Astyanax mexicanus: one gene and its partners. The protein of the gene in region 3 interacts with the protein of the main gene of each other region in a pairwise test. Links are inferred from orthologs where the notes say so. Each region holds a gene or a part of one and is shown on either strand. Other genes may lie near its edges. The genes, in order: cep43, calcoco1a and cep19.

The links.
Region 1: the proteins of cep19 (region 3) and cep43 interact in binary tests that used the Homo sapiens proteins (3 or more experiments, as listed by UniProt). The two-hybrid records come from large-scale screens. The link is inferred for Astyanax mexicanus from reciprocal best matches to the Homo sapiens genes CEP19 and CEP43.
Region 2: the proteins of cep19 (region 3) and calcoco1a interact in binary tests that used the Homo sapiens proteins (3 or more experiments, as listed by UniProt). The two-hybrid records come from large-scale screens. The link is inferred for Astyanax mexicanus from reciprocal best matches to the Homo sapiens genes CEP19 and CALCOCO1.

The regions. Positions count from the first base shown.
Region 1 is NC_064408.1:75,014,904-75,018,659, reverse strand, and holds the start of cep43 (FGFR1 oncogene partner), read left to right. Parts: upstream 1-1,413; 5' UTR 1,414-1,576; intron 1,577-1,726; 5' UTR 1,727-1,758; coding exon 1,759-1,962; intron 1,963-2,446; coding exon 2,447-2,500; intron 2,501-3,201; coding exon 3,202-3,256; intron 3,257-3,341; coding exon 3,342-3,430; intron 3,431-3,756. UniProt on the Homo sapiens protein: Required for anchoring microtubules to the centrosomes. Required for ciliation.
Region 2 is NC_064420.1:1,180,881-1,184,636, reverse strand, and holds the start of calcoco1a (calcium-binding and coiled-coil domain-containing protein 1), read right to left. Parts: upstream 2,815-3,756; 5' UTR 2,640-2,814; intron 1-2,639. UniProt on the Homo sapiens protein: Functions as a coactivator for aryl hydrocarbon and nuclear receptors (NR). Recruited to promoters through its contact with the N-terminal basic helix-loop-helix-Per-Arnt-Sim (PAS) domain of transcription factors or coactivators, such as NCOA2.
Region 3 is NC_064423.1:28,867,762-28,871,517, forward strand, and holds the start of cep19 (centrosomal protein of 19 kDa), read right to left. Parts: upstream 2,486-3,756; 5' UTR 2,311-2,485; intron 904-2,310; 5' UTR 880-903; coding exon 750-879; intron 141-749; coding exon 1-140. Other genes in the region: pigx (phosphatidylinositol-glycan biosynthesis class X protein), read left to right, coding at 2,965-3,028. UniProt on the Homo sapiens protein: Required for ciliation. Recruits the RABL2B GTPase to the ciliary base to initiate ciliation.

The DNA of each region.
Region 1 (3,756 bases), on a different chromosome or scaffold from region 3:
AGCTCTACTTTAATAGAGTAATTTTTCCGATTATTTTTTACTTCTACTCTTTACATTTTCACACAGTTATCTGTACTTTCTAATTTTTACATTTTTAAAATAGCCTCATTGCTCCTATTTCATTTAAGCTTGTTTTCATCTGGCTTCTTATGGTTCAAAAACAAAATTAAATATCCAGATAAAATTCAGCAATTAAATGAATCGAAAAACATTAATGTGTATCCTTGATGCAGAACAAGGTCACCATGAACAATTGCAAAAAAAGGTGCGCAGTTCAACCATGTTTTCACTTAATGCCAATTTTGACTAAAACTCTTCAGCCTGTCATTGTTCTCCCTGTCATGTATCTAACTATTAAAGGGTGGGTAAATGCCTGCAAGTGAAAATAAAATGTTTTTTTTATAGTCTTTTTTGCAACAAACATGTAAAATAACAAAATACGTGATGTTTATTGTAATGGATGCAGGGTCTGAAAGGGCTAAAGGAATATCTCGGACAAGAAGTTTATTGTTCTTTTTAATGTGATTCACCCCCAATTATTTTAGACTCACTCGCGGGCTCCCTCTAGCGGTTAAATGGGCGGGGACTCGGGATATGAGCCTGTCAATCATGTTTTGCATTAACCAATTAAATCCTTGCTCTTAGCCATCAAACACATTTTGCATTGTGGAATTGCAAAGCAGATGCGACCTATCCATTATTTTGTGCATCAGCCAGTCTAGATGTTGTTTGGTTATTTAACGCTTAAATCTGATCCCGGTTGTTTTTACCTGTATATACATATGCTAATACTAAGTAACAGAGGCTGATGCATCTAACTAAATATGCATTTTAACACTTTATTTACAGATTTATGGGAATATTATTAATCATTTAATAAATTAGAACAGAAAATTGTACATTTGGATGTGTCAAACAACTGTTAATCAATGAAGATAATTTAGCTGTGCATTCTTACATTGACAAGTGGTTTCCTGACATTTCTATCTTGTAAACATGGTATGGTTTAACATAAGTATAAATCTTCTCTGTTTTACATTGCATCTGCAAAATAACATAAATACGACTTGATCAAGTTAATGATGTTTTCTTGACCTGAAATAAAGGCAAGGCAATATTTAAGGCACTTATGTGTACATGCAATATTTTGAACAGAACTGTGCTCTTACCCTGCTAATTGAACCTTCACACTCTGAAATGCGGCTGGGAGTAAACAGGATTTTATTGGAATATCTGAATTTTTGGCTGTGTGTGATAGTAATGTTATGAAACGTGCTGAAAGTGAGCGTTGTGATTGGCTCAGTTCAACGGTAGTCAACATCCTATCTAAAAGGGATCAGCTGTCCCATTTCCCCAATTACAGCTCCTTCCCTCCATTCCTCCTCCTCCTCTCCTCTCCTCGATTCCTCCACCTTCTTCCGGGGTAGGAGAGGAGGAGTAGGAAAGGAGGGGTAGGAGAGGAGGAGTAGCAAAAGTTTCTGGACGCAGCCATAGATTCTGGGGCAGATTACAGCGGAAGTAGGGGTCAAACTTGGTGATTTAATTAACTTGCGTTAACGTTGACAGCCCTAAGCAGGTATTTTGCCCTGTACTGTTACTAAATTATATCTCTGCTGTTTGTAACAAACCAAACCGTGGTAAAATCGGGTAAATATTGGTAGAGTTGTGATTTTTATATGTGTATTAAACACCTTCCTTAGTACTAATAAATGCACTGGGTCGTAAGGTTGACTCCTCCAATATGGCGGCCACGATGACATGACAGGAGGCAGGCTCTGCGGCGTCGTCACACATACTACCGGCCGGTTCACCTCAGCTGTAATGAAGACAGTCCGCCGGCAGAGGGCGCCGCGTGGTCACATGACAGTGGGGTTGAAGATGTCTGCCACGGAGGAGGACACGGAGCTGAGAGACCTCCTGATCCAGAACCTGGAAAACAACGGCGTTTTAAACAAGATTAAGGTACTCCTGAAGCTACAGCTGGTGATAGTGGAGAGTTTTACTGAGGCTGTGTGTTGACTCTTAGTGAGGTAACGTTAGTTCACTCTAGTACAGCAGTGAGAGCTAAAGTTTTGGTTAGCTTAGCTTAGCTACAGCTGGGTTAGCCTGCTGACTAGCTGAACTGTAGTGTCAACAAACTGTAACTATGAGATAACCTGAAGACCTGAACCACTGAGCTCTCCCCCGAACTCACAGATTGAGTTCTTCTCTAAACACGGGCTAGTAAAGAACGTGTGTATGTGTATGTGTATGTGTATGTCTGTGTATGTCTGTGTTTGTGTGTGTGTTTGTGTTTGTGTTTGTGTTTTTTCTGTGTGTGTGTGTGTGTGTGTGTGTGTGTGTGTAAACGTGTGTGTGTAAACGTGTGTAAGTTAATGTGTATAAAAAATATGTTAATTCTGGTTTACTGAAGTGTGATCTGAGTGTAGCCGGTGTTGTTCTGCAGGCTGAGCTTCGAGCTGCGGTGTTTCTGGCTTTAGAAGAGCAGGATAAAGTGGAGGTAAAGTGGAGCAGCAGTCTGAACTCTAACTCACTCAACTCTTCTCTATAAATCACTGTTTATCATAAGCTTCTGTACTGAGAGCTAGCTGAGTGATATGGAAGCCCCATCCTGCCACCTAAAATAAAAATATATATATTTTTCATTATTTCCAGATACTATCTCATTATTTTGAAATTGTAAGTCGTTATTTTGAGATACTATATCATTATTTTCGTCTGTATCCGTGTTGTTTTACAGATGTCTGCAGCTGTTGGTTAATAAAGGATTCCACTTCAGCTATATTTGTGTAGTTTTTCCTCCTTTCATAGCTGGCTCTTCTATAGCCTTCTCTCCCAGGTCCGGAGGTTTATTTTGATATTGTTTGATTCCTCTAAAAGCACCAATATTTCATGATTTGTAAATCTACATCTAAAGTAATCCTCAATGATTGTACAATGTTGCATCTTTGTCTCACCTGCCTCTGTCTCTGTACAGTGTGTTAGTATCTCAAAATAATGACTTACTATCTCAAAGTAATAAAACATGATTTCAAAATAGTGAATAAGTATTCCATAATAATGTCTTACTTTTTCAAAATAATAAGATAGCAGTTTACTTTTCTTTGTGGTGAGAAAAGGCTTCCATAGGGTAGCAACACATCTGTTATATGAGTATGTAATATGTATTAGATATTAATGTCTCCTTCCTGTCCTCTCTAGAATAAAACCCCACTTGTAAATGAAAATCTAAAGAAGTGTCTGAACACTAAAGATGGTAAGTGAAGCTGCAGGGCTGCTGTTCTCCCTCACTGTTTCTCAGAGCTTTAGCCTTGTTTATAACTGGGGTCCTTCTCTCGCAGGACGCCTTGTGGCCAGTTTAATCACCGACTTCCTACAAGTCTTTAATTTAGACTTCACTCTTGCAGTCTTTCAGCCAGAAATTAACACGGTACAGTATATGTTCTGTTTTATTACCATGCTCATAACATTCAAACCAACTGCAGAATATTGTGTATATCACAGTTTTTATTTATTTATTTATTTAATATCAATGTGTTAAAAATAGAACGTAGTAAATATACTAAGATAGTTCAATGAACTCACCTAAACTACTTAGTGTTCAAAGAGATATTTCCAAATATTCTATCGCATAAGACACAAGTTTAATATTACATTACAATATGTCATCATTGAGGCATTTATGTCATCATTGAGGCATATTTATGTCATCAAGGCATTTATGCCTTTTTTTAATCTGCAACATTTCTCTTAGTT
Region 2 (3,756 bases), on a different chromosome or scaffold from region 3:
AAATCAGGGGGGTTAGCGCCCCTTTAAGAAATATCTCCTGACAAATGACCAACTTGTACCTAATAGCCATTTAAAATAAAAACTGAATAAACCTTTATTAACAGGGAAATCAGTCGAATACAGCAAGAGCTCTGCATATAGAGCCAAACAAATCTTGTGACGGACATCAAAAATTAATTTAATCATTTAATACTAATTTAATGTTTGTCCTACCTAATGCACATCTCTTAAAGAACCATATTTTTTTTATATTCCTGAAATGTGTTTATTTGAAGTAATAAAACATATCAGTCCTGCTTAATTTTTTAAAAAACTTTCCTGACCTTTAAAAAACACTTTATTGTGGTCATTTCGGCCTCTGCAGGCGAGGATGATGTTTCTGTGTACTCACAATATGCAGATCAGAAAATCGATAAAAACAATAAGACAATCAGCTCTCCATCCAGCCCAGTCTCTAAACCCATACATCATCCAGTGCCCCTCCCAAACTACTCGTCCAAGCCTTTTTCAAATTATACATATAAACACTGATTTAAAAGTAATTTGCTGTATTACGAAAGACAAAGTACCAAAAAACTGAAACTCACAAACATTATAAAACCTAATTTATTCACTCGATACATTAAAATATGACCGATAGAGCTACACTGACAGGTATAAACGCTTTTAAAGCGCCAAATCTTGCGGCTGTTCGTGAAATCAATAATTACTTCATCTAAAAATGTCTGTTTACAGCACCATCAAAGAGCCGCAACATCATGGGCGGAGAAGGTGGAGACGGTGGAGAAGTTCATAAAGAGAATTCAGTCTAACATCTGTACAGAGAACTCAGCTAGATAACACACTGAACCCTATAATTATTATAAACCTTCAAACAACCACCAAAATAAAAGACATGAGGGAGGAAAAGACAGAAAGAACAAAAAGCCTTTCTCTCTCCAAATTTAAAACCCCTAAAGATCAAGTAAATGTATAAATATAATTATGTTATTAAAATAATACAGAAACTGGGGAAGCGCAGTTCTAAAGGCAACAGGTGACTGAATGAAAGCAATACAGTACAACAGAACCAACAGGCCAACAGGGCTTTAATTAGCAACAGGAAACGGAACATATTGTATTACAGGCCGACACACAGAGAACACTGTTAACTATGTACCGAGAGGCTATTCTGAATAATAGGCTGCTTAACAGAATACTTACAAAGTCACAAGCATGCAAATGAGATTATAGAGTATTATATTATATTATATTATATTATATTATACAGTATTCTCAGTATTCTTATAACAGTAATTATTAGCCTGTTATAAACATTTACACAATAACAGGGTTCTCACACCTAGCTATAGCTCTTCATACTGTCTTGAATATTGTTCCTAGCCCCTATTTTTAAGAGCAGTTTCTACTCAAGTCTTAAACAATTAAAAATATGTTTAATCTGATCAAATTTATATAGGATGAAATGACTTTTCAATATGTGAGACAATAAGTATGTATAATCAACATTATTGATTATATTTACTAACTGCTGCAGCCCTAAAGTACACCTAATTTTTATATTAATTTACAAACTGAATGAGAAGTTAGTACAGTCTTATCTTGTGAAAAAAAAGCCTTTTGAAGTCTTTTTTTTACATTTTGCTCAGTAAAATAAACAGATAAATTTGAAAGATATTAAAGCAAAGACAGAACGGCTGCTTATCAGTACTTAGTTTGGCTATTTTCAAGGAGATGCAAGCAGGAATAAGAAAGTTTAATAAGATCATCTTAAAAATGTTAAAATTGATCTAGCTAGCTAAACAATTAAGTCAAGTGGAAACAACTAAAATATCTATATCTGTATAGATACAGTAACCTAGCTATTGTTCTGCTTATATTGTTCTGATTGGCCTGCTATCTACAAAAAAGTCTGTGAGTCAGCCAATCAGCAGTGTTTTTTTTTTCCTTCTGGACAGGATGATGGGATGCGGTCAGGAGCATCATGGCTCCCATCAAAACTCATTTCACCTCAGACTACTCTAAAGTATATCTCTGTCCGTTAAAAGTATTAAACAATGAAAGCCTTGCTCGCTGTACAGTTTGTAATAGTGATTTTAGCATTGCCCACAGGGGACTAAATGATTGCAAAAGGCATGTTGAGGTGAAATAATGAAGTATAAAGTGTATATATAACTTATACCTCCATGAAATTATTTTTTGCAACTTGGAATGTCTCACTGGAAAATAAAATCAGGGATAAAAGGGTTAATCTTAATCTGGTCACCTATCTAGTAGATTAATCCTTCTGAACATCATTTCTTTGGGCCTATATGGTGCCTTTAACATCAGGACAGACTGTAATTAGCTATGTTAGCTAGGTTAACTAAATTACAGTTTGCACATGAGGCAAATGAGGAAAACACAAGGCCTAAAGCAGCCAGCACAGATGACCACAGGCTGCACGCAGCTTTAAACACTGATAAATACACTGATTTTACAACTGTAATCAATAATAATCCAATGAATAATCCGCAAAATTAAGATTATAACAAGCAATTCGTCAAACTGACCGTTTTTTCCAGCCGATATTCATTTTTTGCTGCGTGTAAAACATGCAGTCAGACTTTCTGCAGCTTTTTAACCTCTAATAAACTCACCTTATTCACTCTCAGCTCCTCCGCGCTGATTCTCCTCAGCTGTCCGGTGTAATAAACCCGTTCCGCGGCTCCAGCGGCTCCGTTTTCCCCCTAAAACGGCTACCCGTCCGCAGCGAGGCCGCAAGCGTTTAACAACAATAACAAAAACACAAGCATGGCTGTTTCCACGGTGCCGCTGCATCACGGGAAGTGTAGTTCTCCTGCAGTGCGAGACTATACAACACTGTCTTATAAAAACTACAATCCCCAGACAGCAAGAGGATCAGCTCCGTTCGGTCAGCAACGCGAAACGTCACGTCGCATGTAACAGCGGACTTTACTGTGATTGGCTGACGTTTGACAGACACCTCACATGACCCTGTCTCATTGGTTGAGATTTTGTTTCCTTCCTTTTTAGACCAATGAAAGCGGAAACGTCACAGCAGCGGCGTCCCCTCATAGCATTGAGGGTAAAAAGAAGACACGCACGCGCACGCGCGCACACACGCACTGGTCAACATGTGACGATTGCGAAGTCAGTGTGGGAACTTAAAGAGAGAGTAAATCCACAAAGTTAAATATCTAATTTAACCAGAATTAACGTAAAACTATCGTGTCCAATAAAAAATATGAGTAATGATATTTTATAACAACTTATTATACTTATATACATAACATATTATGTTTCTGTCCCCAGGAAATTACATATATGAATGTGCACACAAAATATTTTTTAAATAAATAAATGTTTTTATTAAGCACAGTGTCTTGTACATTGACCTAATTGCAAAAGTAAAAAAAGTGTAATAAAAAATATAATAAATTGTCCTAAAAACAAAAATAGCATTAGTTACCTATCCCCCACTTTTTAACTATAAACTTTACCATGAAATATTATTAATATAATCCTTCAGAGGTGTATATATTTTTTGCATTGTTGTGTGACTCCCATCAAATCCAATCTATGCTGTAAAAATATTTTTTTTCTCAATAATGCCATAATATTTAAGTTAAAATACACATTTTAGTCGTATCCTTGTTAAGTTTAATTTGGAACAGTTACAACAAGCAAATGGCCCTTATATAAAATAAGCATGTTAATTAATAGCCTCTTACTGGCAACATCTGGATAGAATTG
Region 3 (3,756 bases):
CAGACTCTCCTCCAAGGTGAGACCCCGCAGGTGGTCACGAAGGACTGTGTGTAGTCTCTCCAGCTGAGCCAAAGGGACAGATTCCAGGTACAGACTGTGACGGGCATGGTGCTTCAGTCTCTCAGCTGCTCTGCCACAGTCTGAGGAGAAAAGTTAATCAAAGTGAATTTTTTTGATTTATACACATATGCTAGAAGTCATGGGACAAGAAATAGGATAGGGTCCCATAAAGTTTGCAACATCCCATAAACGCTAAATACTGCTAATGGGATATGTGTGTGCAGCCTACATAAGCTGAGCCCCTGAGGTAAGATTTCATGATCAATGTAAATACTGTGATCCCATGACTTTTGGCATGTTGGTGTATTTTAGCTAATGAAGAATTCACTGAATTACAAACACATGAATCTCATTATATTTCTTTTATGGGTCACCGTGACTGCAGCACAAATACAGAGTTTCAGATTTTATGTAATGATTGTAGTAAAATAGTAATAAATATATATTTTTTGCTGTACAGCATTTAAATTATGTCTTAAGTCGGTCTATTTTTTTCTAAAGGCAATATACACATATACACGATATTGCTTCTTATCACAACAATTGAACAAGTCCTACTTCATATGTTTATCTGAAAAGATTTTTGAATAACTTATTTTAAAACTTAACGATTAAAATGGGCATGTTACAGCAATAGAAACACTAAAATGTGACTGGGTTCAGTGTCTAGCAATATGAGAACAACAAACCTGAAAACTGAAAGAAGTTCCTCACTGGTATTACTCTTTTGCGCATCTTCTTTGTATCTTCACTTTCATATATGACAATAATTGACGGTGGCGCAAATGTCACTCCACATTTCTTTGCCTTTATTGACATTATGTGTCATTTAAGTGAAGTTATCTGTAAGAGAAAAGAAGGTGGTAAAAAAAGAAGGCTGTACTTTACTATAGCAATTGGCTAGTTTAGTAGAGGACATCACACAGACAGGAATATAGGAATACTATAGGAAAGTGAAATGCAATAGTTTGTTATAGAAGTAATTATTATACAGAATTAAATACATCTTATATTATCCTTCAGCAACAAGCTGCTGTGCCCACAGTGTGTGAAGGAAAGCGCATGGCCTTCCTTCCCTCAGTAGACAACACCCACCAAAATCTGATAAATGAATGCATTTACACAGTATAACTACTTACTGTTTTTTATCACCGACTATCACTTTATCACCGACCGCAACTGAGGATACTTTCAAAGTTTGATTGACTTTCATTTCTTCACAACTGATGCTCTCAAACACATATAATAAAGCAAGACATTCAAGTAGTTAAAAAAATAAAAACAATCTACAAGAAAACTTAACAAAAACTCTGAATTAAGCTGTCCAAACTTTTGAATGGTGCTGTCCCTGCTTTCTTTTATTGTTGTGCATTTAGACAAATGAAGGGTTATATAAACTAAAATGTCTGCGATGTACTTTTCATTTCTGTAATATTGCAAATTTCACTGCTGTGGGATTAATCAAGAATTTTTATTTTATATTTTTATGAGGATTATTAAAAACTGCAACGTTTGTCCCAAAATTATACATTATGCATTACAATCTCAATTTGATAAGTTAATTTGATATACAGCTCTGAAATAAATTAAGAGACCCATCCAGTTGTGAATCAATTTCTCTGATTTTGCTGTTTATAGGTATATTTTTGAGTAAAATTAACCATTTTTGTTTTATTCTATAAACTATGGACAACATTTATCCCAAATTCCAAATAAAAATATTGACATACAGAGCATTTATTTGCAGAAAACGAGAAATGGCTGAGATAACAAAAAAGATGCAGAGCTTTTAGACCTCAAATAGTGCAAAAAAAAGTTCATCTTCATAAGGTGTTAAGAGTTCCGAAATTAATATTTGGTGGAATAATCCTATTTTTTAATCACAATTTTCATGCATCTCCTCCACCAGTCCTACACACTGGTTTGGATAATTTTATGCTTCTCCTTGTGCAACAATTTAAGCAGTTCAGCTTGGTTTGGTGGCTTGTGATCATCCATATTCCTCTTGATTATTTTCCAAAGGCTTTTAATTTGGTAAAATCAAAGAAACTCATATTTTTTAAGTGGTCTCTTATTTTTTCAGATCTGTATATTTAAATTGCATTAATAAACAGAGTCTACTGAACTTAATTGTTTAAAGCCCATATTGCTGCTGTGCTGGAGATCACACTGCGCGTCTCTATCGGTATCTAGGCAACGGTTAAAACTCATAATAACAGTCACGTGTTTATATTTATCAATCTTACATACCTTCAGTTCATCATAGTTAAAGGAACCCGCAGCACAGACTGTTCATTTATGTAGAATAAAAGCTTAATAAGGGGGTTATTCTCGCATCTTTTTCGTGTCTTCTTCTTACAGCAGTCCCTCGGTCGTACGAGCGCCCGCTGTCGCCCAGCTCCCGCGCGGTGTTCTGTCGAGTTTTGCCACACAACGATAAGTGCTTCTTTACGACACTGCGCATGCGCCGACCAACATTTTTAAATATGTTTTCATGTTTTCTATGATAATTCCTTAAGTTTTTATTGGAAGCACTAAACAACACTGTAAAAACACTGTAAAAACACTGTAAATAAATATTAAATATATATATATATATATATTCAAATAATAATAATAAACTATACCATTTCTAATCACGCATATATGCAATTATCTTTTTAACTTCATCTAATACAGTGATTTAGCCTATCCACACATCCTACCTGGGCTTCTGATGAGAGTATTGTCTAATAAGGTTTCTAATATGGTGTTTTTTTGTTTGTTTTTAGCTGTTTTAACTTTTTAAAAATAAAATGGTACTAGGGTAGCACAGTTTGACAAGGTAGCACAATTCGACAGAACACCGGACACGGAAACTTGTTCACAGTGTTGTGAACAGGCTTCGCAGCATGAGATCTGAGAATGATTATTCTATATTTTTTCCTTATTGTGTTTTGTTTAATACATTGCGAGCACTCACAGAAAGGTAATAATAATCTACAGGACTGATAGGTAAAGCTGAAATACTTAACGCTAGCTTGGCTAGCTTTGTCTTATTCGGCCCTGTCGTTGTCAGCTAGTCAGCTAAGCGTTACCTAGGTTAGAAAGCTATCTAACTACAGCTAAGTAACTGTTTCCCTCTTTCTGCTGCTTTATTTATGCGTTTCTATGGGTTTAGCAGTACTCTTGATTTCTACTTAGATTTTGGAAATGTAATTTGTGAAAACATATTTTAATACTGGACTCTTATTATATAAATAGCGTACTAAACGGATTGAGGTCGCTTATTCTTCATAATAAAAGTCCGAGTTTATAATACCAACTTTGCCCCGTCCTCTGCACTGGAAACAGTAGTATTAGAGCCATTGAGGCAAAGTAACAGATCATTTACTAATTTAATGTAATTTAGAATACTTTCTCAAGTTTTTTTTTACTATATAGGGATGGTTTATGAAATACAAGTGTAAAATCTATAACATAATACACACAGGCTTCCAAAGTAAAATGATCCAATGCGAAAAATACAAATTAAATAGTTTAGTTAACTGTATAGTTATGTGTTATGTAAATTTCCTAGTAGAATATTAGAGTTTTTTTTCTGCACATTACATACAGAAAAAGGCATTCTTACATTTGTTCCATCACTGGAGATAATTCAGGTCTGAAAGGCTTAACAAAAAAAGTAAACAATAAATGTAAAAAAGGGGGGGGGGG